Linked DNA regions of Anolis sagrei. The protein of the gene in region 4 binds, or shares a complex with, the protein of the main gene of each other region. Links are inferred from orthologs where the notes say so. Each region holds a gene or a part of one and is shown on either strand. Other genes may lie near its edges.

What was found.
Region 1: NUP107 (region 4) and CETN3 share a complex: the UniProt entries of both Homo sapiens proteins name them as parts of the nuclear pore complex. The link is inferred for Anolis sagrei from reciprocal best matches to the Homo sapiens genes NUP107 and CETN3.
Region 2: NUP107 (region 4) and NUP93 share a complex: the UniProt entries of both Homo sapiens proteins name them as parts of the nuclear pore complex. The link is inferred for Anolis sagrei from reciprocal best matches to the Homo sapiens genes NUP107 and NUP93.
Region 3: the proteins of NUP107 (region 4) and NUP133 are in contact, whole or in part, in a crystal structure (PDB 3CQG), measured with the Homo sapiens proteins. The link is inferred for Anolis sagrei from reciprocal best matches to the Homo sapiens genes NUP107 and NUP133. Residues at the interface, in NP_065134.1 of Homo sapiens: Leu875, Gln876, Ala878, Asp879, Val881, Ser882, Ser883, Glu884, Tyr889, Lys894, Leu897, Arg898, Leu900, Leu901, Gln902, Arg905, Ser908, Leu909, Leu912, Asp917, Pro918, Leu919, Tyr921; in NP_060700.2 of Homo sapiens: Trp937, Leu938, Ile941, Asn942, Gln944, Leu946, Tyr963, Ala965, Lys966, Lys968, Thr969, Leu970, Gly972, Leu973, Lys975, Leu976, Ala977, Leu979, Ala980, Ser981, Asp982, Ile992, Glu999.

Annotation. Positions count from the first base shown.
Region 1 is NC_090024.1:171,867,606-171,874,524, forward strand, and holds the start of CETN3 (centrin-3), read right to left. Parts: upstream 3,009-6,919; 5' UTR 2,744-3,008; coding exon 2,727-2,743; intron 143-2,726; coding exon 7-142; intron 1-6. Other genes in the region: PARS2 (probable proline--tRNA ligase, mitochondrial), read left to right, coding at 6,657-6,919. UniProt on the Homo sapiens protein: Plays a fundamental role in microtubule-organizing center structure and function. As a component of the TREX-2 complex, involved in the export of mRNAs to the cytoplasm through the nuclear pores.
Region 2 is NC_090028.1:6,442,339-6,449,983, forward strand, and holds the start of NUP93 (nuclear pore complex protein Nup93), read right to left. Parts: upstream 3,012-7,645; 5' UTR 2,939-3,011; intron 1-2,938. Other genes in the region: POLR2C (DNA-directed RNA polymerase II subunit RPB3), read left to right, coding at 3,095-3,233, 4,460-4,504, 4,740-4,808, 6,776-6,828. UniProt on the Homo sapiens protein: Plays a role in the nuclear pore complex (NPC) assembly and/or maintenance. May anchor nucleoporins, but not NUP153 and TPR, to the NPC. During renal development, regulates podocyte migration and proliferation through SMAD4 signaling.
Region 3 is NC_090021.1:61,261,614-61,268,733, forward strand, and holds the start of NUP133 (nuclear pore complex protein Nup133), read right to left. Parts: upstream 3,021-7,120; 5' UTR 2,922-3,020; coding exon 2,761-2,921; intron 467-2,760; coding exon 348-466; intron 1-347. Other genes in the region: ABCB10 (ATP-binding cassette sub-family B member 10, mitochondrial), read right to left, coding at 6,278-6,539. UniProt on the Homo sapiens protein: Involved in poly(A)+ RNA transport. Involved in nephrogenesis.
Region 4 is NC_090025.1:143,085,798-143,093,499, reverse strand, and holds the start of NUP107 (nuclear pore complex protein Nup107), read right to left. Parts: upstream 3,007-7,702; 5' UTR 2,929-3,006; intron 1-2,928. UniProt on the Homo sapiens protein: Plays a role in the nuclear pore complex (NPC) assembly and/or maintenance. Required for the assembly of peripheral proteins into the NPC. May anchor NUP62 to the NPC. Involved in nephrogenesis.

The DNA.
Region 1 (6,919 bases), on a different chromosome or scaffold from region 4:
AATTGCCTTCAGTTCATGGTAATCTATAGCTTTGTCTTTATCTGTGTCAAAGAGCTCAAAAGCATCTTTGATCTCTTGCTTCTGTTCTTCAGTCAAGTCTCTTCTTTTCTTTCTCTTATTTTTTTCAACAGAAAACTCCGCTCTGCAACAAGAAGAAAAACAATTTGCACAATATTTTATAGAGAGCACGATGTAATGCCATTACTATCAATACCGGCTGTTAGGAATTTTGTTAGTTGAAGTCCAAAATCCCTGGAGGGCCCAAGTTTGCCCATGCGTGCACTGGAGAATTGGGGACCCCAAGTAGAAGAAAAGACTACAGGGAGAAGGGGAAGACATCTATTTAAAACGAGCTGTCCTCTGCCATGCGTTGGTGTGGCCCAGTCTGTGTATATGTGTGTGTATATATTTCGGTATTTGCTTTTTGTGGACTTGCTGTTGCAGGTATTTTTTAAAAAATGAATTTAAAATATTTACATTACAATGGGCCTCAGAAAGGGAGGCTGGTGTGTGGCCCCTTGTGTCCTGTCACTTGTTTTTGCCCATTTTGTTGATGGCTCGGGCTGCGAGCGGACATGCTTTGTTCACCTCCTCATTCCGGGTTGGGATGCAGCCCGTTGGAGGCCCCGATGCCACCCCAATAACATCCAATAATGTATAAACCTCACAATTAATATAGCATCCCTACTTTACGGATTTTCACTTACTGCGGGTGGTCCTGGAACGTAACCCCCACAATAAGTGAGGGAACACTGTATGTGGTTTTGCACATGCGTTATAATGTATTTTTATTTTTTTGGCTTTTTAAGTCTCTTGCATTGTGTTTTTCAGTGTTTTGATGAGTGATGGTCACCTGTTGGTTTACACAATAGGTGTATTGTGTCCAATTTTGGTGTCAGTTTGTCCAGTGGTTTTTGAGTTATGTTAATCCCACAGGCTGGTGATCTGGAAAATGAAGTAATGAGAAAGTGCTGGTTTCTAATATATGTAATGTCTTGTGGGTAAACAGTATTTCTTGCTGTGTCTTTGTCCATGTTGATGTCGAGATTGTCTGGGTTGCCTACCCTAGAACATGCAACATGGAATTGTCCTTCTTTAGGGGTCTCTTTCAAATCTATGATACTGTATCTGTGTGTGTGTGAAATCATCTATGGCTTTGTGGCTCTTTGTCAGGAGCGCTTTATTACATTTTCTTGCCCTGGTAAAGGGAGTTGGACTGGATGGCCTTAAGTATTTTCTGTTGGTCACGGGAGTTCTGTGTGCCACGTTTGGTTCAATTCCATCATTGATGGAGTTCACAATGCTCTTTGATTGTAGGTGAAATATAAATCCCAGTAAATGCAACTCCCAAATGTCAAAGTCTACTTTTTAACCCAAACTCCATCTGTGTACATATTTGAGCATATGGAATATTTGTGCCAAGTTTGGTCCTGATCCACCATTGTTTGAGTCCACAGTGCTCTCTGGATGTAGGAGAACTGCAACTTCCAAACTCAAGATCAATGCCCATCAATGTCCATGTTGGTCATGGGAGTCCTGTGTGCCACGTTTGGTTCAATTCCATCATTGGTGGAGTTCAGAATGCTCTTTGATTGTAGGTAAACTATAAATCCCAGCAACTACAACTCCCAAATGACAAAATCAATTTTTTAGAGTGATAGTCACTCCTTGGGTTAGTAGGTGTCTTGTAGCCAAATTGTGGCCAGTGGTTTTTGAGTTATGTTAATCCCACAAATGAACATTACATTTTAATTTATATATAGACTAGCTGTCCGCTGCCATGTGTTGCTGTGGCCCACATGGGGGTTCTGTGTGAGAGGTCTGGCCCAATTCTATTGTTGGTGGGATTCAGAATGCTCTTTGATTGTAGGTGAACTATAAATCCCAGCTACGACAACTCCCGAATGTCAAGATTCTCTCCCCCCCCCCCCCCAACTCTATCAGTGTTCACATTTGGGCATATTGAGTATTTGTGTAGAATTGGTCCAGATCCATCATTGTTTGAGTCCACAGTGATCTCTGGATGTAGGTGAACTACAACTCCAAAACCAAAGAACACTGCCCACCAACCCTTCCAGTATTTTCTGTTGGTCATGGGAGTTCTGTATGCCAAGTCTGGTTCAATTGTATCGTTGGTGGGGTTCCGAATGCGCTTTGATTGTAGGTGAACTATAAATCCCAGCAACTACAACTCCCAAATGACAAAATCATTTTTTTTTTAGTGAAGGACATACACTGGGTTGTTAGGTGTCTTTTGCCCAAATTTGGTGTCAATTCGTCCAGTGGTTTTTGAGTTCTGTTAATTCCACAAACAAACATTATATTTCAATTTATATATAGATGAAAGAAAGAGAAAAAAAACAATTTCCTTCTACTCCGTTTCCTAGAAATCCTGTGGGTCTGTCTGCGTGTGTTCACAATGGAATACAACGCCAGCAAAAACCTCAACCCATGATTGAACCAAGGCAAGGGCCAAAAGGGCGAAACAGGCAGGGACTGGGTGTTCTTAAGCGCCTTAGAGGAAAAGAGAGAGAGGCGGGGGCGGCGCGTGAGCCTTTCGCCAGGTGGCAGCTGAGGGACACGGAGCGCGCGCCCGCCTGAGGCGCCTCGCGAGGCAAAAAGGGAGGGGGCGGAGAACAAGCGCCGTTGAGTTTCCATGGCAACAAGAAGCGGGCGAGCACTCGCTCCCTCCCTCCCTTCCCGGTTCCCTCGCGCTGTAAACCAACCTTGACACTAAATTCATTCTCCTCGCCTCGGCCTGCTCCTTCTACCGGACACCGGGTGGGCTGCCGAGTCGGAGGAACGCCGGCGACTTTGGACCACCACCGGAAAACACGCGTCTTCCCTTTCAAAAGCCGGACGCCTAAGCTAAACGGCTTCTCGGTCAACAATGCGGCGTCCCTCTTCAGAGCTCAGTCGCGATTGGGCGCTGAGGAGCGTCCCTCCCGCCTCTTCTTGTATCGCAACGCTTCGATAGGCGAAGTCCCTTGTCAATCGGATTTCCCTCCCCGCCTTCCTCGCGAGGTTGCCAGAAGGCATGGGACGTCACAGAGAAGCGAAGGGAGGGGAGAAATGGTACGGCGCGGGTTGATGACGTCAAGAGAACGTGAACTCGCCCAATCTGCTCGGTTGGCGCGAAGAACGAATTTTGGGACTTTTAGGAATGGATGTGTTATTAACTTCCTTGTCGACTTATAGAGACCAAGTTAATTTCATTGGGTTTTCTTGGAGAATGAATACTCTTGAATCTTAGGCCTCTTTCACACAGCTAAATAAAATCCCACATTATCTGCTTTGAACTGGAATATATTTATTTATTGTATTTATTTACGACATTTATATGCCGCCCTTCTCACCCCCAAGGGGACTCAGAGCGGCCTACAACATATATATGTATGTATATATATACACACACACAATATGATATATTGTGTGTGTGTGTGTATATATATATATATATATCTTGTGTGTGTATATATATATATATATCTTGTATAGTACAATATCAGTATTATATATTACTATATTGTACTATACCATTATATTGTTCCACCTTGTCTCCTGTGCTATTCTAATAATATAATTTATTTATTTATTTCAGGCATTTCTACCCCACCCTTCTCACCCCCTAGGGAGAACTTGCATTACATTATAATATTATAAATATTATATGTATATACAATAATATATTGTATATACTTATAATATTTATAATATTATAATGTAATGCAATGTAACACTAATAATAATATATTATAATTATATATTTATATTACATGTAATATTACTAATAATATTACAATATGATATAGTACAATATAGTAATTTATTTATTTGTCGTGTCAGAGCAACCAGTCCATTATATTACATTTCTAACAGAACAAAGCAAACAAACAGACAAATACAAAACTTGTGAGTTTGGTAGTTGGTTAAATGTCCTTTGACCAGCATCTGGCCACTTGGAGTGCTTCTGGTGTTACTGCAAGAAGGTCCTCCATGGTGCATGTGGCAGGGCTCAGGTTGCATTGCAGCAGGTGGTCAGTGGTTTGCTCTTCTCCACACTCGCATGTTGAGGATTCCACTTTGTAGCCCCATTTCTGAAGGTTGGCTCTGCATCTCGTGGTGCCAGAGCACAGTCTGTTCAGTGCCTTCCAAGTCGCCCAGTCTTCTGTGTGCCCAGGATATAGTAATATTTAATACTGATATTGTACTATGCTAATAATTATATTATAATATATTGTATGTCTTGTAAGCCGCTGTGTGTCCCCTTCGGGGTGAGAAAGGTGGCATTTAAATGTCGTAAATAAATAATAATTATACCATTATATTGTAATATTACTAGTAATATTACATATAATATAAAATATATAATTATAATGTCATATTATTATTAGTAGTATTATATTGCATTATATTATAAATACTAAATGCATATACAATATATTATGTTAAATTATATTATTAGCATAGCACAGGAGACAAGATGGAACTTGTGTGGCATATATGTCATTGTGGACTCAGGTAACCCAGTTCAAAGCAGATATTGTGGGGTTTTCCACCTTGATATTCTGGGTTAAATGGCTGTGTGGAAGGGCCTTTAGAAAGCAAAAGCTAAACGTCTGCCAGGATCTATAGAGGTAGAGAGTGGTAACACATGAGACAAGGCTGTTTCACGTCTCGCGAGATCCGAGGGCACTCGGGAACCGAAATCTCGCGGCAAACCCGGAAGAGCAGCGCTCATGCGCAGTATGGGGCGTCAGGGCTGAGAGCGCGCTCTTTAGTCCTGCTTAGCGTTTGGTATGTATGTAGTGGCTCAGTTAGCTGGACGCCACGCTTTGGGGATTTGCTCAGGCCAGAGGTGGATCTGAACTGCCAAATTGATTCATTTTGAGTCCACTTTAACTGCCCGTGGCACAATGCTATGGGGTGGTGGGAGTTCTAGTTTTACAAGGCGTTTTGGCCTTCTCAATAGTGCTGGTGCCTCATCAGCTGTGGTAATTCAAGTGGGCTCAATTTGCATTGATTCTGCAATAGGCATAGGCAAACTTGGGCCCTCCAGGTGTTTTGGACGTCAACTCCCACTATTCCTAACAGCCTCAGGACCCTTCCTTTTGCCCCTCAGCCCCTAAGCGCCTGAGGGGCAAAAGGAAAGGGCCTGAGGCTGTTAGGAATGGTGGGAGTTGAAGTTCAAAACACCTGGAGGGCCAAAGTTTGCCCATGCCTGTTCTAGATTCTCCCACAATGCTCACATTTTAGTGCCCCAAACGTTAGCCCTGTTTCTGGGTATTTTTGAGCTGCTGATTCCAAAAATAACACCAGTTTCCCCTTCTCAGTTCTAGTTTTTTAGATGCAGAACATATGCCATCTACCAGTCTTCATCACCCATAGAAAATCAATGATATCTAAGAAACTAGAGCTGATGTAGTGTATCCAATTCAATTTTCTAAATCAGCGTCCCATATAACCCAGGAACAGACCTAAAAACGAAGACACCAATATTATTTACTAGAGTCTAATGTGCCATAAAATCTAATGCGCATCTTAATTTTCAAAACCTTGAAACCCAAAAAAAGCATTTACCATGTTACGCAAATCTAATATGTACCCCAATTTTGGGAAGGTAATTTAGTCAAAAAAGGTGAGCATTAGAATCAAGTAAATACAGTATTATTATTTTGAGCTGTATAATGATATTGATTTTATTGATTCTGTTATGGTTTTTATTATTCAACTGTTTTATTATATTGAAATGGCATTTTATGGTCTTGGTACCGACTGTGAACCTCCCCGAGTCGCCTGCAGGCTGAGAGGGACGGTATATAAATATAGTAAATAAATAAATAATGTGTTTACTGTTTGGGTTAAAGTTGTAATAGCAGTGTAACTGGACAATGTAAAGGGGGACATTCTTTTTCTCTATCCAGCTTTCTTTCTTTCTTCAAATCCCAGAGTGTAGAGAGAGAGGGATTACATGATTTAAAGAACACATAGAAAAACAATAGGGAAAAATGAAAATTAAAAATGCAGTAACTGTGCTTTGTTTCTGTAGGTATGTGAACAACCAGTAGCTGCTGATGTTAATGTTTCTGTATCAGTGTAAAGTTTATATGTTGTAGTGTAAGGATGTATTCTTGTGAGTACTCTATGTATTTATTTTTCCTGATTGTATCTATGTTTCAAAGATGGCAGAAAAACTGATTAAGGTCTGTTTATACTGTTTCAGGGAACAGAGCCGTAATTCATGAACTCATGGTAAGCTCCATGCTTATCAGTACATGAAATCAGATAGAGCAGTTTGATTATAAAGAAGCAGAATGCAATGTTTTGTGTTATTTTTGTTTCAGCTATGCTTTGTAAATACACATTTGTTGTTGTGCACATTCAAGCCAATTCTAAATGTGGCAACCCTAAAGCAAACCTATGACAAAGTTTTCTTCGCCAGATTTGTTTAGAGGGAGGTTTGCTTAGTTTTTTGAGGCCGAGAGAATGTTACCTGACTAGTGTTACCCAATTGGTTTCCATGACCAAGCAACAATTTGAACCCTGGTCTCCAGCCACTGGATATAAAATTTGTGTGAACTTCATGTGAAACTAATGTCTTTTTTTATATGTTTCCCTCTCTGTCTACAGATTTAAATAGAAATTTCCTCTCTGGAATGGATGGGCTGTTTAGAACAAAGAATATGCTACTTCCTAGTTTGGCAGTTTGGTGTCAAAAACAGCAACAATGTTGCAGGTTTTATTGCAATCTTCAGACAAAACGAAAGCATGTATCCCAACATTTTAGGTCCATGAATTTGCGAGAGGAAAGCATGGAATCCAAGGAGAGCAAACCTGTGGAAATGACATGCAAAAGTCAGAGACTGATGTTACTAGCAGGCCTGATTTGTCCTGCCAGCCCTGGTTGCTACCATTACAT
Region 2 (7,645 bases), on a different chromosome or scaffold from region 4:
GTCCTCAGAGTATATTTCCTCACCTGTATGAAAGTATATTTTATGACCCATTTTAATGAGTTTCTCCCTCACAAACAATCTGCTCCTTTGCTGTTTTGCTGTTGTAATTTTAGAGTTTTACACAGAGAAGCCATTGAAATCCACAAGCATGTGGACAATTTCAACAGAAAGGAAGAGACCATGAAAATGAACAAAATCTGGCTACCAGTATTAAAAAACTCAAAAATTACTACAGCAAAACAGCAGAGAGGAAACAACCAGGCACATCTTAACACCTCTCAACAAAAGATTCCCCCAGGCTCAGCCAGGCCTTCAAATGCTACTGAAGGTGGTCAGTTGAAACATTCACACCTAGCTCCAGCAGAGAAAAGCTCTTTGCCCCACCCCAGCCCGTCCACAGATATATAAACCCATGGTCCTAATTCCAACAGACCTCACTACCTCTGAGGATGCTTGCCGTAGATGCAGGCGAAACGTCAGGAGAAAATGCCTCTAGAACATGGCCCTATAGCCCGAAAAAACCCACAAGAACCTAGTGATTCCAGCCATGAAAGCCTTCGACAATAGTATTAAAAAAACTCTAAAATTACAACAGCAAAACAGCAGAGAGGAAACAACCAGGCACATCTTAACACCTCTCAACAAAAGATTCCCCCAGGCTCAGCCAGGCCTTCAAATGCTAATGAAGGTGGTCATTTGAAACATTCACACCTAGCTCCAGCAGACAAGAGTTCTTTGTCTCACCCTGGTCATTCCACAGATATATAAACCCTTTTTCCTAGTTCTAACAGACCTCAGTACCTCTGAGGATGCTTGCCATAGATGCAGGCGAAACGTCAGGAGAGAATGCTTCTAGAACATGGCCATATAGCCCGAAAAAAACCACAAGAACCTAATTTTGATTATACTTGCTCCAGAGGGGCATAGTTTGAGAAGGGCTCCATACATCATTTGTGCTATGGATTTTGCCTCAAAGAGCTTAAACGCTGCTTGTATGTAGGGGTAGTATGTAGGGGTAGCATAATATCACAAAGGACGACCACCTCACCAGCCTCATAGGAAACCTGCTACAAAACAGGAGCTTCTTTGTTGAGTTCCAGGGTCAGAGAAGCAGATGGCGGAAACAGAAGAACGGACTGCCTCAGGGGAGCGTGCTTGCTCCATCCATGTTCAACATCTACACAAATGACCAGCCACTGCCAGAAGGGACAGAGAGTTTCATCTACGCTGATGATCGTGCCATTACTGCTCAAGCAGGGAGCTTTGAGATGGTTGAACAGATACTCTCTGAAGCTCTAGGTGCTCTTACTGCCTATTACAAGGAAAACCAACTGATCCCCAACCCATCTAAAACACAGACATGTGCCTTTCATCTCAAGAACAGACAAGCATCCCGAGCTCTGAAGATCACCTGGGAAGGAATCCCACTGGAGCATTGCAGCGTACCCAAATATCTGGGAGTCACTTTGGACCATGCTCTTACCTACAAGAAGCACTGCCTGAACATCAAGCAAAAAGTGGGTGCTAGAAACAATATCATACGAAAGCTGACTGGCACAACCTGGGGATCACAACCAGATACAGTGAAGACATCTGCCCTTGCGCTGTGCTACTCTGCTGCTGAGTATGCATGCCCAGTGTGGAACACATCTCACCACACTAAAGCAGTGGATGTGGCTCTTAATGAGACATGCCGCATTATCACAGGGTGCCTGCGCCCTACACTACTGGAGAAATTACACTGTCTAGCCGGTATTGCACCACCTGACATCCGCCGGGAAGTAGCAGCCAATAGTGAAAGGACCAAGGCAGACATCTCCAGCCCATCCCCTGTTTGGGTATCAGCCAGCACGTCAACGACTTAAATCTAGAAATAGTTTTCTAAGATCTACAGAGACACTCACTGGAACACCTCAGCAAGCGAGAGTCCAAAAATGGCAGTCCCAAACCCAGAACCTCAACCAATGGCTGATACCAGATGAGAGACTTCCCCCTGGGCACACAGAAGACTGGGCGACTTGGAAGGTGCTGAACAGACTGAGCTCTGGCACCACGAGATGCAGAGCCAACCTTCAGAAATGGGGCTACAAAGTGGAATCCACGACATGCGAGTGTGGAGAGAAGCAAACCACTGAACACCTGCTGCAATGCAACCTGAGCCTGGGAAAATCCCCTGTTGAGAGGTGTTAAGATGTGCCTGGTTGTTTCCTCTCTGCTGTTTTGCTGTTGTAATTTTAGAGTTTTACACAGAGAAGCCATTGAAATCCACAAGCATGTGGACAATTTCAACAGAAAGGAAGAGACGATGAAAATGAACAAAATCTGGCTACCAGTATTAAAAAACTCTAAAATTACAACAGCAAAACAGCAGAGAGGAAACAACCAGGCACATCTTAACACCTGTCAACAAAAGATTTTCCCAGGCTCAGCCAGGCCTTCAAATGCTAATGAAGGTGGTCATTTGAAACATTCACACCTAGCTCCAGCAGAAAAGAGCTCTTTGCCCCACCCAAGCCATTCCACAGATATATAAACCCATTGTCCTAATTCCAACAGACTTCACTACCTCTGAGGAGGCTTGCCATAGATGCAGGCGAAACGTCAGGAGAAAATGCCTCTAGAACATGGCTCTATAGCCCGAAAAAAACCACAAGAACCTAGTGATTCCAGCCATGAAAGCCTTCGACAATACCTATAAGCACTGTTATCCCGCTTTGGCTGCCATGGCAACATGCGAGAGGGCAATGAGGCCGGCAATAGGGGCCTCTCAGGCATTCCAAGGCCTCGCCACACCACAAAACCCCTCAAAACGTTGCCAAGGTATAATATTATAGCCGGGCTATAGTAAAGCAGTGTGACAAGGCTCTCGAGAGGAAGAGAGAGAGAGAAGGGAGCCTGGAATGGGAGAAGAACCGCCTTCCAGTCAGCGAGGGCCTACCTTGCTTGCTTCCTCCCTGTTTCGCCGCCGACCGCCGCCTGGAAATGACGTCGGCGCCGCTCTGCTCCCCGATTGGCGGAGAGCGCGGCCGGCGTCTCCCAGCAGCCCCCGCGGCTCTCGGCGTCCGCGCCAATCCCGGCCTCGTTCCTGCTGCGCATGCGCCGTGGTGTTTCAGGCTCTTGCGGCCTTGTTTGGGTCTCCCGCCAGCCATGCCTTACGCCAACCAGCCCACCGTCCGCATCACGGAGCTCAGCGACGAGAACGTCAAGTTCATCGTGGAGAACACGGACTTGGCGTGAGCGGGGGCTTGTGTGGAGGAGGGGCAGGGCCTAGTCTGGAGAGGGAAGCCGGGGCCTAGAGTGCTTCTGCTGCCCCACTCAGGCACGGAGGCGTCTCAGGCCACCTCCTGGGCTTGGGAAATAGTCCCATATTATTATTATTATTATCCCCTACAAAATGTTTAGACAAAATTTTTAAGACTAACAGATTTATTTATTTATAGCTGTCTCCTGCCACGCGTTGCTGTGGCCCTCCTGTATATATATGTATTTGTGTGTATATATGTGTGTATATATGTGTTGCATATGTGTGTGTGTGTGCCTATGTGTAAGGTAAAGGTAGTCCCCTGACATTGTTGTTGTTGTTCATTCGTTCAGTCGTCTCCGACTCTTCGTGACCTCATGGACCAGCCTACGCCGGAGCTCCCTGTCGGCCGTTACCACCCCCAGCTCCCTCAAGGTCAGTCCAGTCACTTCAAGGATGCCATCCCCTGACATTAAGTCCAGTCATGTCTGACTCTGGGGTGTGGTGCTCATCTCCATTTCTAAGCCGAAGAGCCGGCATTGTCCGTAGACACCTCCAAGGTCATGTGGCCGGCATGACTGCATGGAGCGCCGTTACCTTCCCGTCGGAGCGGTACCTATTGATCTACTCACATTTGCATGTTTTCGAACTGCTAAGTTGGCAGAATCTAGGGCTGACAGCGGAAGCTCATGCCGCTCCCCGGAATCGAAACTGCGACCTTTCGATCAACAAGCTCAGCAGCTCAGTGCTTTAACCCACTGCGCCACCGTTGTGTATATGTGTGTGTATATGTGTGTGCTTGTCTATATGCATATTTGTTTCTATATGTGTGTGTATGTGTGCATGTGTATATTTGTGCATGTATATATGTGTGTGTATGCAGATGTATGTGTGTTTATAGTTGTGTGTGCTTGGGTATATTTTTATATGTGTGTTTATGAGTTTATGAGTATATGAGTGTGTGTGTATGGTGCATTTTGGGGTTTTTAAGTCTGTTCTGCTAGGGGGGGCTGTATTTTTAGTGGTGATGAACACTCGTTGGACTGTTAGGTGTATTGTGTCAAAAATTCGTGTCAATTCGTCCAGGCCGCCCCTGCCACACGTTGCTGTGGCCCACTCTGGTGGTCATGGGGGTTCTGTGTTGGAGGATATAAATACATATAATACTGCTAATAATAATAACAATGAATATTTCTCTGTTTTTCTTTTCCAGAGTAGCTAATTCCATCAGGAGAGTGTTCATTGCTGAAGTTCCCACCATCGGTATTTATCTATTCTTTATTGTTTATCTATTAATTTATTTTATTTTAAACATTTATATTCCACCCTTCTCATCCCGAAGTGGACTCAGCATATATACGGCAAACATTCAATGTTGGGACTCAAATTCTTATATGTATACATAAACAGTATGTTAAAGTCCAATACTACGAATTGAAGACTTTGAGCATGATTAATCAAATTGCTATTATCTCATTTTGTACTATTTTGTTTGCAGCCATAGACTGGGTACAGATAGATGCCAACTCCTCGGTCCTCCATGATGAGTTCATTGCACATAGGTTGGGTGAGTAACCGGCATAGGACACGATAGGAAAACACAGGCTTCTCTAGTTTTGTTTTTAAAACAATATTTTATTATGTGCGTAATTCACATAAAATACATTCCAATGCTTTGATGCCGAGCCTCTTTCTAACTCTGGATTTTTCATAAAATAGTGTAATGCCCAACACATTTAATTTTTCAGATTGTACTAGCATTCAACATTATTAATTACATTTTTAGTAATATCCCCAAGTTTTTCCTCTCCTGCTATATTTTTCTTATGTTATATGCCCTTTGGGAATTCTGGATCCTGTTTATTTATTTGTCGTGTCAGAGCAACCAGTCCATTATATTACATTTCTAACAGAACAAAGCAAACAAACAGACAAATACAAAACTTGTGAGTTTGGTAGTTGGTTAAATGTCCTTTGATGGGTATCTGGCCACTTGGAGTGCCTCAGGTGTTGCTACAAGGAGGTCCTCCCTGGTGCATGTGGCAGGGCTCAGGTTGCATTGCAGCAGGTGGTCAGTGGTTTGCTCCTCTCCACACTCGCATGTTGAGGATTCCACTTTGTAGCCCCATTTCTCAAGGTTGGCTCTGCATCTCGTGGTGCCAGAGCGCAGTCTGTTCAATGCCTTCCAAGTCGCCCAGTCTTCTGTGTGCCCAGGGGGGAGTCTCTCCTTTGGTATCAGCCATTGGTTGAGGTGCTGGGTTTGAGCCTACCACTTTTGGACTCTTGCTTGCTGAGGTGTTCCAGCGAGTGTCTCTGTAGATCTTAGAAAACTATTTCTAGATTTAAGTCGTTGACGTGCTGGCTGATACCCAAGCAGGGGATGAGCTGGAGATGTCTCTGCCTTGGTCCTTCCACTATTGGCTGCTACTTCCCGACGGATGTCAGGTGGTGCAATACCGGCTAAGCAGTGTAATTTCTCCAGTGGTGTAGGGCGCAGACACACCGTGATAATGCGGCATGTCTCATTACAAGCCACATCCATTGTTTTAGTGTGGTGAGATGTGTTCCACACTGGGCATGCATACTCAGCAGCAGAGTAGCACAGCGCAAGGGCAGATGTCTTCACTGTGTCTGGTTGTGATCCCCAGGTTGTGCCAGTCAGCTTTCGTATGATATTGTTTCTGGCACCCACTTTTTGCTTGATATTCAGGCAGTGCTTCTTGTAGGTAAGAGCACGGTCCAGAGTGACTCCCTGGTATTTGGGTGCGTGCGCCTTGCTTTGGGACCAAAGTTCTTGATTTGTTCCATCCGTAGATCATCCAGGCCAGCTGGATCCTGTGAACCATGTGATCTTAATTAATAATAATAATAATAATAATAATAATAATCTATATAAATAAAAATGTAATGTTCGTTTGTGGGATTAACAGAACCCAAAAACCACTGGACTAATTGACACCAAATTTGGACACATGACACCTAACAACCCAATGTATGCCCTTCACTCAAAAAAATTGATTTTGTCATTTGGGAGTTGTAGTTGCTGGGATTTATAGTTCACCTACAATCAAAGAGCATTCTGAATCCCACCAACGATAGAATTGGGCCAAACCTCCCACACAGAACCCCCATGTGGGCCACAGCAACGCGTGACAGGGGCTAGTAGTAGTAGTAGTAGTAATAATAATAATAATAATAATAATAATAATAATAAAAATTTTAATATACCATGCCACCATCTCCCCAAGGGGACTTGGGGCGGCTCACATGCGACCAAGCCTGACAATACAATAAAGCAAAAATACAGCATAAAAATACAATAATGTAATGACAATAAAAATAAATATAAAATAAAAATAAAATACAAGAAGCAATGCAGATAAACACCAAACAATATACAACCACAGTAATTAGATCACGAAAATCTCCCATGGTTTTGAAACCAGAATATATCTTGTTTCTTCCTAGTTGATCGTCTTTTACCTTGCACCTGAGTCTACATGTGTTTTCACTACTTTCTCTGTTTCTCGCTAGGTCTGATCCCTCTTACCAGTGATGATGTTGTTGATAAACTGCAATATTCCAGAGTGAGTCTAAGTCTCAGTGGGCGGAGGCCTTATTTTCTTGGAATCTATATAAATAAAAATGTAATGTTCATTTGTGGGATTAACATAACTCAAAAACCACTGGGTGAATTGACGCCAATGAGTGACCATCACCCCTAAAACACACAAAAAAACCCAGCAGAATGGACTTTAAACCCCCCAAAATAAACCATATATACATATACACATACATTCATATACACATGCACACATACATACATAAACATTTAAATATGCAAACACACAAATATACACACCTACATATACACCTACACACATATATGCATATACACAAGCACACACATGCACAATATACATATACACATATAAACACAGAAATATACAGAGAGACATGCACACATATATACACACATATATGTGTGCAAGCGTACATAAATATACACATACAGTATACATACATATACACCTACACACATGCATATACACAAACACACATATACACAAGTTACGTATACACATATAAACAAAGAAATACACAAATCTATACACATAAATACACACATATATATACACACACAAATATACACATATACACACCTACATATACACCTACACACATACACATACGTACACACATATATGCATATACACAAGCACACACATGCACAATATACATATACACATATAATCACAGAAAAATACACAGACACATGCACACATATATACACAAATATATATTTATGCAAGCACACACAAATATACACATACAGATACATACATATACAACTACACACATATATGCATATACACAAGCCACACATATACACAATATACATAC
Region 3 (7,120 bases), on a different chromosome or scaffold from region 4:
CCTGGGATATAGGGCAGTATAGAAGGGGCCTAAGAATATTCTCATACTTAGAACTATCTCCTTAAGGAAAGCAGCAAAACCACACGTTAAAATGAATACCATTTGCTTGGTTTGATAAACAAAGCTATTTCTACCTAAATCGAAATAAGAAGCATCTCATGTACAAATAAATAACACTAAGGTTACATCTTTCTATCTCAATCTTCAAACCCATGCTTTCTAAAATAGCTGTAGACATAAACTTTAAAAGATATTGGCAATGTTCCCAGGAATGTTACAAACCTAGCAGGAAGATTTTAGCTATTTTTCCATGTTTGGTTATTTGCATAGAAAAATAAAACACTTACCACCAGCCATTCTCAAGGCCTCCATAACTTTTACTGGTAGGGGCGAGCCAAACCCTTTCACGTCATAGTTAATGGTTTCACTTCCTGTTGGATGATGCACAACCTTTGTGGGAGTACACCTAAGCAAAAAGAGAAGTAACCAACATTTTCCATATTTCTGTTTCAATTAAGTGGTAAAGTAGCTACAACTGATTTTAGAGTTTGTGTATATTTATAGTTATTTTATGTCCCAGCATGGAATGTTTGCCATATATATGTTGTGCTCCCTTCGGGGTGAGAAGGACAAAATATAAATGTTTCAAATAAAAAAAAAATAACCTTGTCAAGAACATTGCTTCACTGACTTATGCTAATTTCATTCATCACTGTTTGAACAAATGTGTGGAACACATAACAAAACAAAGATTTCAGTTGCCACTTCATTTATTGGGGATGACGACCCACAAATGCATTTTCTTCTTGCCATGGAAGGAAAATCCTCACATTTAAAAACCAACAGGGCTGCTATTAAGTTCTATCTATGGTGAAATCCAATGTTCTGAAGTTAATATAAGCCACAGCAGTTACCAACTTCAGAACACTGATTTTCCTTGGGAACAAAATGTCAGAGAAAAAGGATGAGTTCTCTTCTGCCTTCTCCAAAACTTATAGTGAACAGCCCAGCCTCCACAGCTGTCATTTCCATTTCTTGAAAATGGACACATTCAATACATACATTACAGATGTATCAAATTACATGAATATATACAACACAGAGATATAGCAATATGACACCACTTTGCCCTTTGACAAGATGCTTAGAATTTCTTCCAGTTATTCCTAAGAAAATGTTATGAAATTCATGAGGTTACTATAAATTAATTTGAAGACAAGCATGTGCACACACACACACACACAAACAACACGCCCATGAGCAACAGCACTAAAACTTTCTAGGTGTGATTGCTGACTATCTCCACAAAGTATGGATTCCACAGGATGGAGCCAATGTTCTAAAGAGCTACAATTGAATAAGGTGTATCCATATTCGCAGAGTGCGACTTTGGGACATAAGGGTCCCAAACCCAACTCAGCCGCAGAAACTTGCTAGTTATCCCTGGTGAAGTTACATTTCCTTAGACTTACAGAGAGGCATTGGCAAACCATCCTCTGAATAAAAAAAAGCTAAAGATAGGTGCCTACTAAGTCAGGATCAATTTGAATGCACATGATGATATAGAGACATGTACAGTTAATGCGATAGCCACTGGGCTCTTATTTCCTGTTGCTGTTATGACAGGTTGAACATCATCCCTTATCTGGAAAGCTGAAATGCTTCACAATCCAAATCTGGGCAGCTGAGGGCCCTTCTACACTGCCCCTTTATCCCAGGATCTGATTCCAGACTATCTGCTTATATAAATATGTATAACTCCTCACTGTCGATAACCTATGATAAACAAGTTTTGGGAATTCTAGTTGGCTGTTGTATGGAATCTGCCCGGAGTCCCCTTGGGGAAATAGGGTGGAATACAAATAAAGTTTATTATTGTTGTTGTTGTTAATCTGGGATCAGATCATGGGATAAAGGGGCAGTGTGGAAGGACCCTGAGAGTGTGACACTTTTGCTTTCTGAGGGTTCAGTGTCTAAAAGTTGTACTGTACATACAGTTAATGTGGTGGCCATTGGGTCCTTATTTCCTGTTGTTGTTATGACAGAGAATCCCTTATCTGGAAAGCTGGACTGCTCCACAACCCAAATCTGGGCAGCCAAGGGCCCTTCTATACTGCCCCGTTATCCTCTGATCTACAACTGTAAATACAGTACAATTCTACCCTCGGTTCACTTCTGATATGACAAATAAAACAAATAGCGCCTAAACACATTGCTTCGTGAATAAAATTATCTTCCGGCTGTGTGTGTGAGAGAGAAGTATATGCAACATCAATACACTTTGTGTTTAGCTGTCGATCGCATATCCAAGATTTGCATAATGTATATGCAAATACATTCCAAAATAATAATTGCAAACAAAAAATCTCCCTGTGCATTTTGGATACAAAATATTCACTCTCCAGGCATGGGCAAACTTGGGCCCTCCCTCCAGGTGTTTTGGACTCCAACTCCCACCATTCCTAACAGCCTCAGGCCCCTTCCCCCTCAGCTTAAGCGGCTGAGGGGGAAAAGGAAAGGGCCTGAGGCTGTTAGGAATGGTGGGAGTTGGAGTCCAAAACACCTGGAGGGCACAAGTTGGCCCATGCCTGATTTATTATTAGTTCCCTTCCATTAATTAAAAGTTCCTAATCCAAAATTAATGACGTACAAGGTTCTCCACCTATCCCCTTTATCCCCATCTGCTCGGTAGTTTGATGTTGTAGTTTCACCAGGCCTTTAGCCTTCTCACCCCGAGTAGGCCGCCCCTCGCGTACTCACCGCGCCGACAGGGAGCTGACGTTCCTCCGGGCCACGGGCGAGAACAGCGCCGGGGAACTGACAGACGCCTGGCCCTTCCTGCCGCCGAGACGGAGGCCCCTTCGGCCTGACCCACCACCGACCGGGGTGTGAGGGGAGCCCACGGGGGTCGAAAGATACATGGTTCCACCTCAGGACGCCAAAGCTCACAGAATACACGGAGCTTTCAGAAGTGCACGAGTTCCCGGGCGGCTCCCGATGACGTAGACGTTGTGTTTCTCGCGCGTTCTAATAGCGTCATCCGGATTCCCAGGATGGGATTGACTGGAACGCTTGAGAAAGGCGGGGCTTCCGTGATCCAGCTGGGCAGAGTTGAAGGTCCGCCTCGGAAGTTTTTGAGTTTAGCTTTTGGCGGGAAGGTTAACGCCCGCTGCTCTTCCTCATTCAGCTTAAGGGAAATTCAGAACGGTTTTTGAGGGCCCTTGCAAGCTCCATTATCCTTTCCCTTGTGTTGCTGGATGCCTTTCAAGTCGTTTTTGAGCTATAGCCTCGCCATCACTGGGCATTCTGGAGGTCAGGCTACACAGAGAAGCCACTGAAATCCACAAGCATCTGGACAATTTCAACAGAAAGGAAAAAACCATGAAAATGAACGATAACTGGCCACCAGTATTTTAAAAACCCCTCTAAAATCATAACAGTAAATAAAGAACAATGCTCAAATGCAGGGGAACTCAAGACAAAAAATCAGGGACAGCTAATCACCTCTCAACAAAGGATTCCCCCAGGCAGTAACAAGCTACACCTAAAAACTCAGACCATCAAATTCTAACCAAGGTGGCAAATTGAAATATTCAAACCTAGCTCCAACTGACAAGATATATAAATCAAATTTCCAACAGACCTCGCAACCTGAGGATGCCTGCCATAGATGCAGGTGAAACGTCATGCTTCTAGAACATGGCTATATAGCTTGAAATACCTACAACAACAGTGAGAAGCTACACCTAAAAACTGTCAGGCCATCAAATGCTAATCAAGGTGGCCAATTGAAACATTCACACCTAGCTACAACAGACAAAAGAGTTCTTTCTCCTACCCTGGACTTTTCAGATATATAAACAGATATATAAACCCATTTTTTCCTAGTTTCTAACAGACCTCACAACCTCTGAAGATGCCTGCCATAGATACAGGTGAAACGTCAAGAGAGAATGCTTCTAGAACATGGCTATATAGCTCGAAATATCTACAACAACCCATTCTGGATGTGTCTGTCCTTAGAAGACTTGCTTTGGCCTTCTCCTGAGAGTGGTTCCTTCCACACAGCCATATAACCCAAAATATCAAGGCAGAAAATCCCACAATATCTGCTTTGAACTGGGGTATCTGAGTCCACACTGCTATATATTCCAGTTCAAAGGAGATTATATGGGATTTTATTCAGCTGTGTAGAAGGGGCCAGTAACTGATCCAAAGCCATCCAGGGGGTTTCCATGGCTGAATTGGGATTTGTACTCTGGTCTCCAGCACCAAACCAGGACTCCTCACTGGCTTCCTATCCATGTCTGTTGTGTGCCTTCAAGTCCATCCTGAGTTATGGCGATCCCAAAGTAAATGTATCATGAGGTTTTATCATGGCAAAATTTGTTCAGAAGAAATTTAACACTGGCTTCCTCTGAGACTGAGGCCCCTTTTACACTGCCATATAAGATCCAGTGTAGACTCATAATCCAGTTCAAAGCAGATGTGGATGATCTTCTTTGATAATCTGGATTATGTGGCAGTGTAGAGGGGGCCTGAGAATGGGATTTGATGGTGGTTATGCAGAGCTTTCCCAACTGTGCATCGAAACTATTGCTGTGTCCACTGACCTGTTGTGTAGGTGTGTCACGGATGTAGGAAAAAAAACCTTGAGTTTATGTGAAATAAGCAATAAATCCTATACACACACACACACATGCAAGGTTTTCGTAGGAAATGTTGGCAAACATTTCCTAAAGTTTGATAATAATTTCATAATACTTACATGATAACTTAATGAGGTTCAATACTGAGGAGTATTATTGGTGTAAGGTCACACAGTGAATTGCCTTGGTTGAGCGGGGCAGAACAATAGGCAGAGCACTCAAACCACTAAACTACACTGGCTCTTATCCTGGAAAAACCGCTTTTTGAGTGCAAATCTTGTCAATAAATTATTTAAAAATGAGATTACTTTCAACTAAATTATAATGATGACCTCAGTACTAAGGGGCCAAACTAGACAGGCTAAGCCTCTTGGGGCTGCAGAAAGGTATTTAGCACCTCAATTTTCAAGTAAGGTATAATAATGATTAAGATTGTTGTTGTGTGTCTTCAAGTCATTTCAGACTTAGGGCGACCACAGAGATTCCTTGTCAAGATTTATTCAAAGGAGATTTGCCTTTGCCGTCCTCTGAGAGAGTGTGATTTGCCTAAAGTCACCTAGAGCCATTGTCCAAGGTTCAAACCACTACACCAGGCTTTTTGAATTCTGAATTCCTTCCCTCTCTTTTTTTCTACCTCTTCTTTCTCCCTTTCTTACTCTTCCTCCTTCCCTGATTCCTACTTACATTTCTTTCTTCCCTTTCTCTCTCCCTCCTCCTCTTTTTCCTACCTCTCTTTTTCTCCTTTTCTTTTTCTCCATCCCTCCTTTCTACCTTCCCAGGGGTGCAAGGAGTGCCAGGAGTGGTGAAGTAAAGTGGTGGGCAGAAGGGAAAGTGGCAGGAACCAGGAGCAGGGAAAGCGGCTGGCTGGCATGACCTTTATCAAGTCAAATCATAGGTCCACTTAACTCACTGAGAATGGTAATAGTCTTTATAGTATCTGATAAAGATTTAGCCCAGATTTGATGGCCAAAATTTTTTGTAATCTACTATAGTAGGAATTGAACCTGGGCCCTTCAGCATACAGATTGCTTTCTTTCTTAAGCTCAGAACAGACATCCCAATACTGTGTGTGATGAGGAAAATTTCAAAACCACAGTAGGGATTTAATTCTAATGACTTGGGTTCTATTGCAGAAGACTTGCAAATCCAGTAGAGGAATTTTTTAAATGTTTGCTTTTTAAAACAAAAGCAGTTTCAGAATGTAAGAGTTAAAAGAGCCCCCCTTTTCTGTAAGCAAAACGCTCTCTGAACTGATCTCTATCTTTTCAATACAATGACTTTAAACAAAATACCAGAATTACACATTTAATTTATCACCATCTTAAATGGAAAAAGAATGTGCTTCCACGCCGTCAGGTTTAAAAAAATAGTAAACATCCATATCCATCAATCAAAGCAGCATAAAAATATTTACATTGTAAAAACAATTTACTGTTTCATATCTTCACAAGAATATAATTATAATTAGATTCTCTGAATAAAAAGTTTAGTACAGCCATGTTTTAAAATACACAGGAAAAATATAAACACATTTATTATACATGAATTGAAACATAATTTAAAATTACTTGGAAATGTGTTACATTTCCATTCTTTATATTATTTCATTTTAAAGTCTTTTTTCTTCTTCAAGATTTTACATTTAATGCAACATTTTCACTGTGCTGGAGAAAAGACTGTTTCTTCATTAATTTGCTGAAGAGTCCATTTGGGTTTGCAAGCAATTTTTCATGTTTCCCACACTCAACAATTCTTCCTTGATCAAGAACTGCAACAGAATTCGCATTCTGAATAGTGGACAGACGATGGGCAATTATGAGAACAGTCCTTCCTTCCATGAGTCGATCTAATGCTTCTTGGACAAGGAATTCGTTTTCAGCATCCAATGCACTAATTCATGAACAAAATGATGAGAAAACATATATTATTGTCCTATATCCCACTTTAGAATAGTTAGCTTACTAGTTTGCTTTCATTTCAGGCTTTTTATAATGTGACAGTATTTTAAGAGTATTACATACATTTCTTTTTAAAAGCAACAACTTTATTTCTGTGTAAAAAATATACCCTTCTGATAAATCAAGTCCCTGATGAAATTCAGGTAAGTGCACATATTTTTAACCTGCAATGTAACATACTTCTTTAGATTATTGTTTCAAATCTGTTGACACTAAGTGAATGAATATTTCTAGATGGAAGTCTCAGTTTATCAGAAAGTCTTCCAAAAGGGAGGTCACTGGAAAGTTATGGAATGTGTAACTTTTTTTTAATCAAAGAAATACACAGACTAAACCTAGTTGCAAAGGCACAGCTTAACACTACCAAAGGCTTGGAAACGCACTGTTCTCACATCAGACTTTTACCAGTCCCAGAGGGCATCTACACTGTAGAATTAATGCAGTTTGACACTACTATAATGGTTAGGGCTTGATGCCATGGAATCATGGGAGCTGCAGCTGGCTGAGGCATCA
Region 4 (7,702 bases):
GTGAACTAATTGTCTGAAGAATGCAATTAATGAAGAAAATTAAACATCAAAAATGAAAAACATGATACAAATAAACACATAAAACAAAGTACATTAAAACATAATTAACATTAAAACATCTGACGTAGTAAAACAATTAAAATAGATGAACAATGGCTGTTTTAGTTGTTCTTTAAAGTGTACCATGATGGCCATGGGGCACAAGTAAGTCAGCCAGCATTCCAATGGCATTATTGTGGGTCCCCAGGTGTTTTGGCCAACAACTCCCAGAAATCCCAGCTAGTTTACCAGCTGTTAGGATTCTGGGAGTTGAAGGCCAAAATATCTGGGGACCCACAGGTTGAAAAACACTGGTCTAGAGTATCCCAGTCCTCCTTATTATGAAAACATAAGGAATACAAACCAGAATAAAATAAAATAAGAATAGTACAATGAAACAGATTGCAAAAATAAAGTCTGATTGAAAGTTCAGAATCCTACATTACAAGTTCTAGAAAGCCTGCAAAAGCAGAATTAGTTTGCTTAGTACCAGTATGCTTGTACAGCACCAGTAACATGACAATTAACATGGGTACCCAGGCAGGCCTGCTCTAGAGAGAAAATCTAGCAGTGAAGTGCCGCTATTGAAAAGATACTCCTTCTCATTGTGTTCAGATGGCAAGGCACCCAGAGAAAGATTTGAGGATGAAGGCCTTCATAGATTTCTGGACTGATGCAAGATGGGGGGAAAAAACCAAATCAGGCCGGAAGCCAAAGTAAGTTTATCAGACTTGTTGCACTTGCATATGCAAGCACATACACACACTCCACTTTTTGAAAACCATTGATCTCTAAGAGAGCCAAACTTGGAAAATTTTCAATTTTTAAAGTCTAGTCCCTATTGACCATTCTATCTGAAGGAACCTGGCTATTGGGGTCCAAAAGAATAACACTTTCAAGTTGTGGGAAGAAAAGGGGAATAAATTAATGAGAATAATGTGAGAAACAGCTGTCAGCCACACTAATATTCCAAGGAACGGTGAGAATGAATGAATAGATACTGTAAAAGCACACCTGTCAGTCACATAACATTCCAAGGAACAGGGTGAGTGAATGAATGAGAACAGTGTAAAGAATACTTGTTAGTCACAGTAATATTCCTGTGGAATGGTATGAATGAATGAATGGCTATAGTATAAAGAACATACCAGTTATTCCAATATTCCAAAGAATAGTGTGAATGAATGAGAACAATGTAAAGAACATCTGTCAGTCACAGTAATATTCCAAGGAACAGTGTGAATGAATGAGAACAGTGTAAAGAACATGTCAGTCACAGTAATATTCCAAGGAACAGTGTGAATGAATGAGAACAGTGTGAAGAACATCTGCCAGTCACAGTAATATTCCAAAGTACCTACTAAGGTTAATTCTCTATGAAGGAATGAGAGGAACACCTCAGGCAACTGATTTTTCCTGCAGTCGCCCAACCACAGATTCAATCATCCATGGTTTGAAAACATTTTTTTGAAATCCAAAAACCAAACCTTCAATTTGCCAATACATACAAAGGCCACAATTTTACTATGCCGTTGTGTATGATGGGATGTGAGCACCCATGGATTTTGGTTTTTTTAATGCTTATTTTTTTATTATGTGTGTTTTTGGCATCTAATTGTTGCCTATATATATAAGCTACCTTGAGTCCCTTACGGGGTTGAGAAGGCCTGGGTGAAAATACAGTAAATAAATAATAAAATATACATACTTAGCTGGGAGTAAGCCCCATTTAACAGCCCACTGTTTCAAGAAAGGGGGAGCACAGTGTCTAGATCTAGGGAAGTAATGCTACCCCTCTATTCCACCTTGGTTAGACCACACCTGGAACAGTGTGTCCAATTCTGGGCACCACAATTGAAGAGAGATGTTGAGAAGCTGGAATGTGTCCCAAGGAGGATGACTAAAATGATTGAGGGTCTGGAGAACAAGCCCTATGAGGAGCACCTTAAGGAGCTGGGCATGTTTAGCCTAAAGAAGAGAAGGCTGAGAGGAGATATGATAGCCATGTATAAATATGTGAGAGGAAGTCACAGGGAGGGGGGAGCAAGCTTGTTTTCTGCTTCCCTGGAGACTAGGATGGGGAACAATGGCTTCAAACTACAAGAAAGGAGATTCCATCTAAACATGAGGAAGAACTTCCTGACTGTGAGAGCCGTTCAGCAGTGGAACTCTCTGCCCCGGAGTGTGGTGGAGGCTCCTTCTTTGGAAGTTTTTAAACAGAGGCTGGATGGCCATCTATCAGGAATGCCCATGAGGTCTCTTCCAACTCTCTTTGATTCTATTATTCTAAATTCAAATACATGTTTACTGGACTGGGGGAGGTTAATCGTTTTTAGCTACAGTGAAATAATTGAGAATTCCTAACATAGCTAATGTTACCTATCTTTTGTGGGGCTGTCTCTTTCACCTTCCCCATAATAGAGACAATCCTACGTCCCTCACAAAACTGTATATCCCAGAGAAAAGGTGATTAAATTGCCATCCAAGCAGTGCAGTGTGAAAGCGAACGGGCACTTCCGAGAGGCTCAATGCTCGAGCATCCCTTATCTGAAATTCAAGACTTCAGAATCCCCAAGTGAGTGACTGAGACAGTGACACCTTCTGCTTTCCAATCCCCGGCTGAGGGGGAAAACCAAGGGGCCCGAGGCTGTTAAGAATTGTGGGAGTTGAAGTCCAAAACACCTGGAGAAAGGCCGAATCTTGAAGCTGAAGCGGCGGGAAAGAAAAGAGAAGAGGCCTTGGCTGCTTTGCTGAGGCGAAGGACATGCCTGAGGCCATTTCTTCCTCGGCTGCTGAACTATAGAAGGCGGGAGGGCCTCACCTCTCAACCCAATGCTCACGCCTCCCCTCCAGCCTTTGACTCGCCTATAGACCTTCCGCCATACTCACCTGCTCTCCACAGCCGAGTGCCGGCTGCCGCTTGTTGCTTGAGACTTCCCGCCCGCCGGAAGCGGAAGTGAAACTCAGGACCCGGATGAGGGCAGGAGGCTCTCTCCCGAGACAAGGGAATAGCTCCATGGAGATGTACACATGGCGCCCCCTGCAGGCGAGGAAGACCGCCTAGCCCCCACCGCTTTGGGCGTGGCGGGAAAGTTTTCCATCGCTGGAAGGAAGTTTGGGGCCCCTTCCTGACAGCTCAATCAAACCCCGCAGTATCTGCTTGGAACTGGAATATATGGCAGCGTGGACTCAGGGCCCTTCCGCACAACCATAAATCCCAGAATATCAAGGCAGAAAATTCCACAATATCTGCTTTGAACTGGGTTGTCTGAGTCCACACTGCCATGCATTTCAGTTCAAAGCAGATATTGGGGGTTATTTTGCCTTGATATTCTGTGTTAAAGGGCCCTCAGAAAACCCAGTTCAAAGCAGATATTGTGGGATTTTCAGCCTTGATATTCTGGGTTTTATGGCTGTGTGGAAGGGCCCTGATGAGAGATTGCAGGTTAAAGGTGCCAGAAAAGCCGCTATTTGACAACTGATGGGCAGATTCAGTGCCCCTTTTTTGGCATTTAATAATAATAAAACTTTATTTATACCCCGCTACCATCTCCCCAAGGGACTCGGTGCAGCTTACATGAGGTCAAGCCCACAGTACATCAGTAAACAAGGCAATAACAAAAACAATCAATACAAAACAATATAAATCACATAAACAAAAAATTTCCGAGTATTTGTATCATGAAGTCTAGGACTCGGGTCTAAATGCGAAATTCTTGTAGGGCTCAGACTTTAGACACCTACACGTGACCTAAACGGTACTACGCAGTACACAAAACCACCCTAAAGTAAAGGTGTCACTATGGGTGCAACTACTCTGCAGAATGAATGGGGTTTGATACTACTATAACTGGCATGGTTCAATGTTCTGGAATCCTGGGACTTGGGGTGATACTGGTACTCTTTGGCAGAAAGGACTAAAGACCATCCAAAACTAGAGCTGGCAGGATTTCACAGTATTCAGCCATGACAGTTCAAGTGGTGTCAAACTGCATTACTTCTACAGTGTGGATCAGGCATGGGCAAACTTTGGCCCACAATTCCGAACAGTAGGCTGTTAGGAATTGTGGGAGTTGAAGTCCAAAACACCTGGAGGGTGTAGATGCACCCCATCTGTTACCCATGTTGAAAATTTTGGAGTGTATTGGCTTTCCTTTATTGGTATTAGTGCATAAGTGCTGGTTTTAACCTATAAAACCCTACACAGCTCTGGCCCGGTTTACCTGTTCGAATGCATCTCCTCCTATAAACCATCAAGGATGCTAAGATCATCTGGAGAGGCCCTGCTCTCGATCCCACCACCTTCGCAGTCGTGGTTGGTGGGGATGAGAGACAGGGCCTTTTCTGTGGTTACCTCTGGCTATGGAACTCTCTCCCTGGCAAGATTAGGTCTGCCCCCTTCCTCTTATCAATCAGGAAGCAGCTAAAATCCTGGCTCTGGAATCAGGCATTCGCAGTTTGATAGATGATCCGGCATAGACGAAGATTCAATGAATAATTGGATTGAGTTGGATGATGTTTTTAACCTGATGATTGTCTTTTATATGCATTTTAGAACTTACTGTGTATGTTATTTATGTTATGTATTGTAAAGCATTGAATTTTTGCTATTAGCCGTGGTCTGAATCCCTCCACGGAGGTAGAGTAGAACGGGATACAAAAGTTCTAAATAAAAAATATTTTGATATATGCATCTTAATGGTGTTGCATTTGTTGGTTTTAACCATGTTGTACCTCACTTTGAGCCTTAATGTTCTTCTGGAAGGGAAGCTGTGCTTACATACATAGCTATGAAACAGAATGAACAGTTCTCTTTTTTGGTGCCATCCTGTTTTCACCAGGTTTTTCAGCCACTCATGCCCTAATGATGATAAAGCTTACAGATCCAACTACAAAAATGTTTTGAAAGCAAAGGAAAAACAATCCGTGCAAGGCCACACAGAAGAAGAGACAAAACCCATTCTTTTCCAGTGGCACAGGTAAAAGCAAACAGGTGAAGACTTCCTGGCTTGTATGTTCTTTATTAATAACTTTTGCCACATTCAGATGTTGCCTGGCCACGTGCATCCTGGTTTAATTCTTTGAGATGTTGCAAAATATGCTATCTCTTTCAGTCCTCCTTCAGAAAGAAAGGGCTTCCAAATATAGCTGGCTCAGCCATAGATGCATAGCTTTGTGAGGGCTCTTAATGGTACATAAAGGAGGATTTCATTGCAGCGTTTCTTGTTCTCTACCTGCTGAGGTCAGTCGTCTTTTCATCCATCATAAAATATGGGATCTCTGATGTTGTACACTTTTTCTATTCTTAGCTATACACTTTATCCTCTTTTTTCTTCTGAACTGAAGGAGTATCAAGGAAAGGTTCATAGATGAGTATTCGGTATCTGAGAATCAGCTACATTTCTGTGTTTACTTCTGCACCATCTGTGAACTTCCTAGATAGTGCAAGAAGAAATCCCCTGTGCTCTAAAATTAAAAGACCAGTCAAGCGATGCAAACAAAATCAAATCAATTAAGATAAGAAATAGGACATGAAATGTGTAGCCTAAATGGGAATTTCGCCATGAATGCTCTCTCTACTGCCAAGAAATCAACAAGCTGTATATTACCCTGTTGGTTCTTTACTTAGTTTTTGGTTCAGCTTGGTTTTAGGTTGCAAGACTTAAAACTTCATATTCAAGAATAGTTCAATGAGATTAATTAGATTAGTCCTTTCGAATCCCATTTCTAATAAGAAAGGAATTACTGGAGCCAGGTGTTTTTTTGTATCTAGAGGGCCCTTCCAGATTGATCTAAAGAGGTGAGAGGGTAAATAGAGCCCACAACAACAACTATATGTTGGGATTGTAGGAAAAAATCCTGAGAACTACAAAAAATGATGTAACTGCTTTTTACATTTGCTCCATTTGGAAGAGAAGCTTCAAGAAAGCTACAAAAATCAAAGTCATGAATAGATAAAAACAAAAGAGAAATATGTTCACAGAGTGTCTTTGGTTTTATCCCAATTGTATGAATGTATTAACGCAGTGAAATTAAAACAGACTATGCATGGTAAATTTAATTTATTAATCCCTAAAACAGAGTTATGGATCTGATAATGAAATACGTTTATATGATGTAAAATTAAAAAGTGATCAGTATTGGACTGGGATTTAGAAGAATTAAAACAGCAATGAAGATTGATCCAATTCCAAAAATTGCTGTTGAAATTTTACATTATTGGAACATTAGTGGTTTAGGAGCATACATCCATGATGACTTATTGGTGACAAATACCATTTTCTTGTTGACTTCTGTATCAACTGTAAACCCTATGTTCAAGTCCTAAATCCTTTTTTTGTCCAAGTATTTTAACCACCTTATGGCTAACATCAGCAAAAGATACAAAACATTCACTTATAGATAGTTGTAATGCAAGCCCTTGCATGGCAATCCAAATTTATTGAACTACTGATGCTAAGTCATACAAAATTGCACCACTTTTAATTAAGGCTTTTAGTTTACATTTGGCCACCTCAAAGCAGTTGTAACATTAGGTTGGTCAATTTAAATACTGTGGCTCCCTGTTGGATTTTACACGCAATCTTTACACCCAAACGTTAATGCATACAAAGCAACAAGGCATTGTTAAATAAATCAGCAAAAAGGTAATTACTGCAACTTAGGCCCTGGGACCAATTACACATGATTAAAATTACTTCCCACATTCACATCCACAGTACTCGTCCACCATTTAACATCTCAACCAAAACGTTACACATGTAAAACAATCACTAACAGGCAAAAGTACTAAACCTGTATATTTGGTATTGCAAATACACTTATGCATGAGCAAGCAAGGGAATTCACAGTGAGAATCTACAGCTGCAGAAGCCCAAAAATGATTTACAAAAAAATTGTTAAATCATTAAAAAATCGTTTTAAAATATACACTTCTTGTTGTAGACCCCCACTGTACACACAACTATAAACATTGTTCCCTATGTAAACAAGGAAAAGGAAACATACAATAAAAGGTTGAAAAATCTGGACATTTCCTTCCCAACAGATATTAAAGGCAATGTCTTTAGGCAGACATTATACTGAAAGGACTCATTTTAATAAGACTAGGTCACTGTCTCCACAGGTTTTTTATCCTAAAATTAAAAAACTAGATAGCTGTTGTGTTAATCAAAGCGCTTTTGTACAATACAATGATGATCCTGTATTTCTTTTAAAAAAGTTACAATAAGCTACAAATACCAATGAAGCAAAGTTATCTGGAGTAGTCTATATAGGAGCTCTTTGGACTTTCTTTTATTACGCTAAAATAGTGGTGCTTTTAGGATTTACATTATTGTACTCTCCAATAGGAAGTATGGGGTTTGTTGTAGATACAGTACAGTTTTCATACATGTACAACATTGGCGGATGAACAATGTCTCTTTATCTGTAATACTGGATGTAGGCTCTGGTTTTACCAGTTGCATACACATAGGTTATTTATAAGTAAAAATCTCTCGTGACACTGGAACGTGATTAGAATGTGCAAACTGATGTAGTAGCTGTCATCCGTTTCATAAGGGTACCACCATAGGAAAGTCCATTTAAGATGTTGGTAGGTTTAATAAAGTTGGAATGCTGGCACTGTTGTAGTCAGCAACAGTTCTTCAGACCTAGAGCA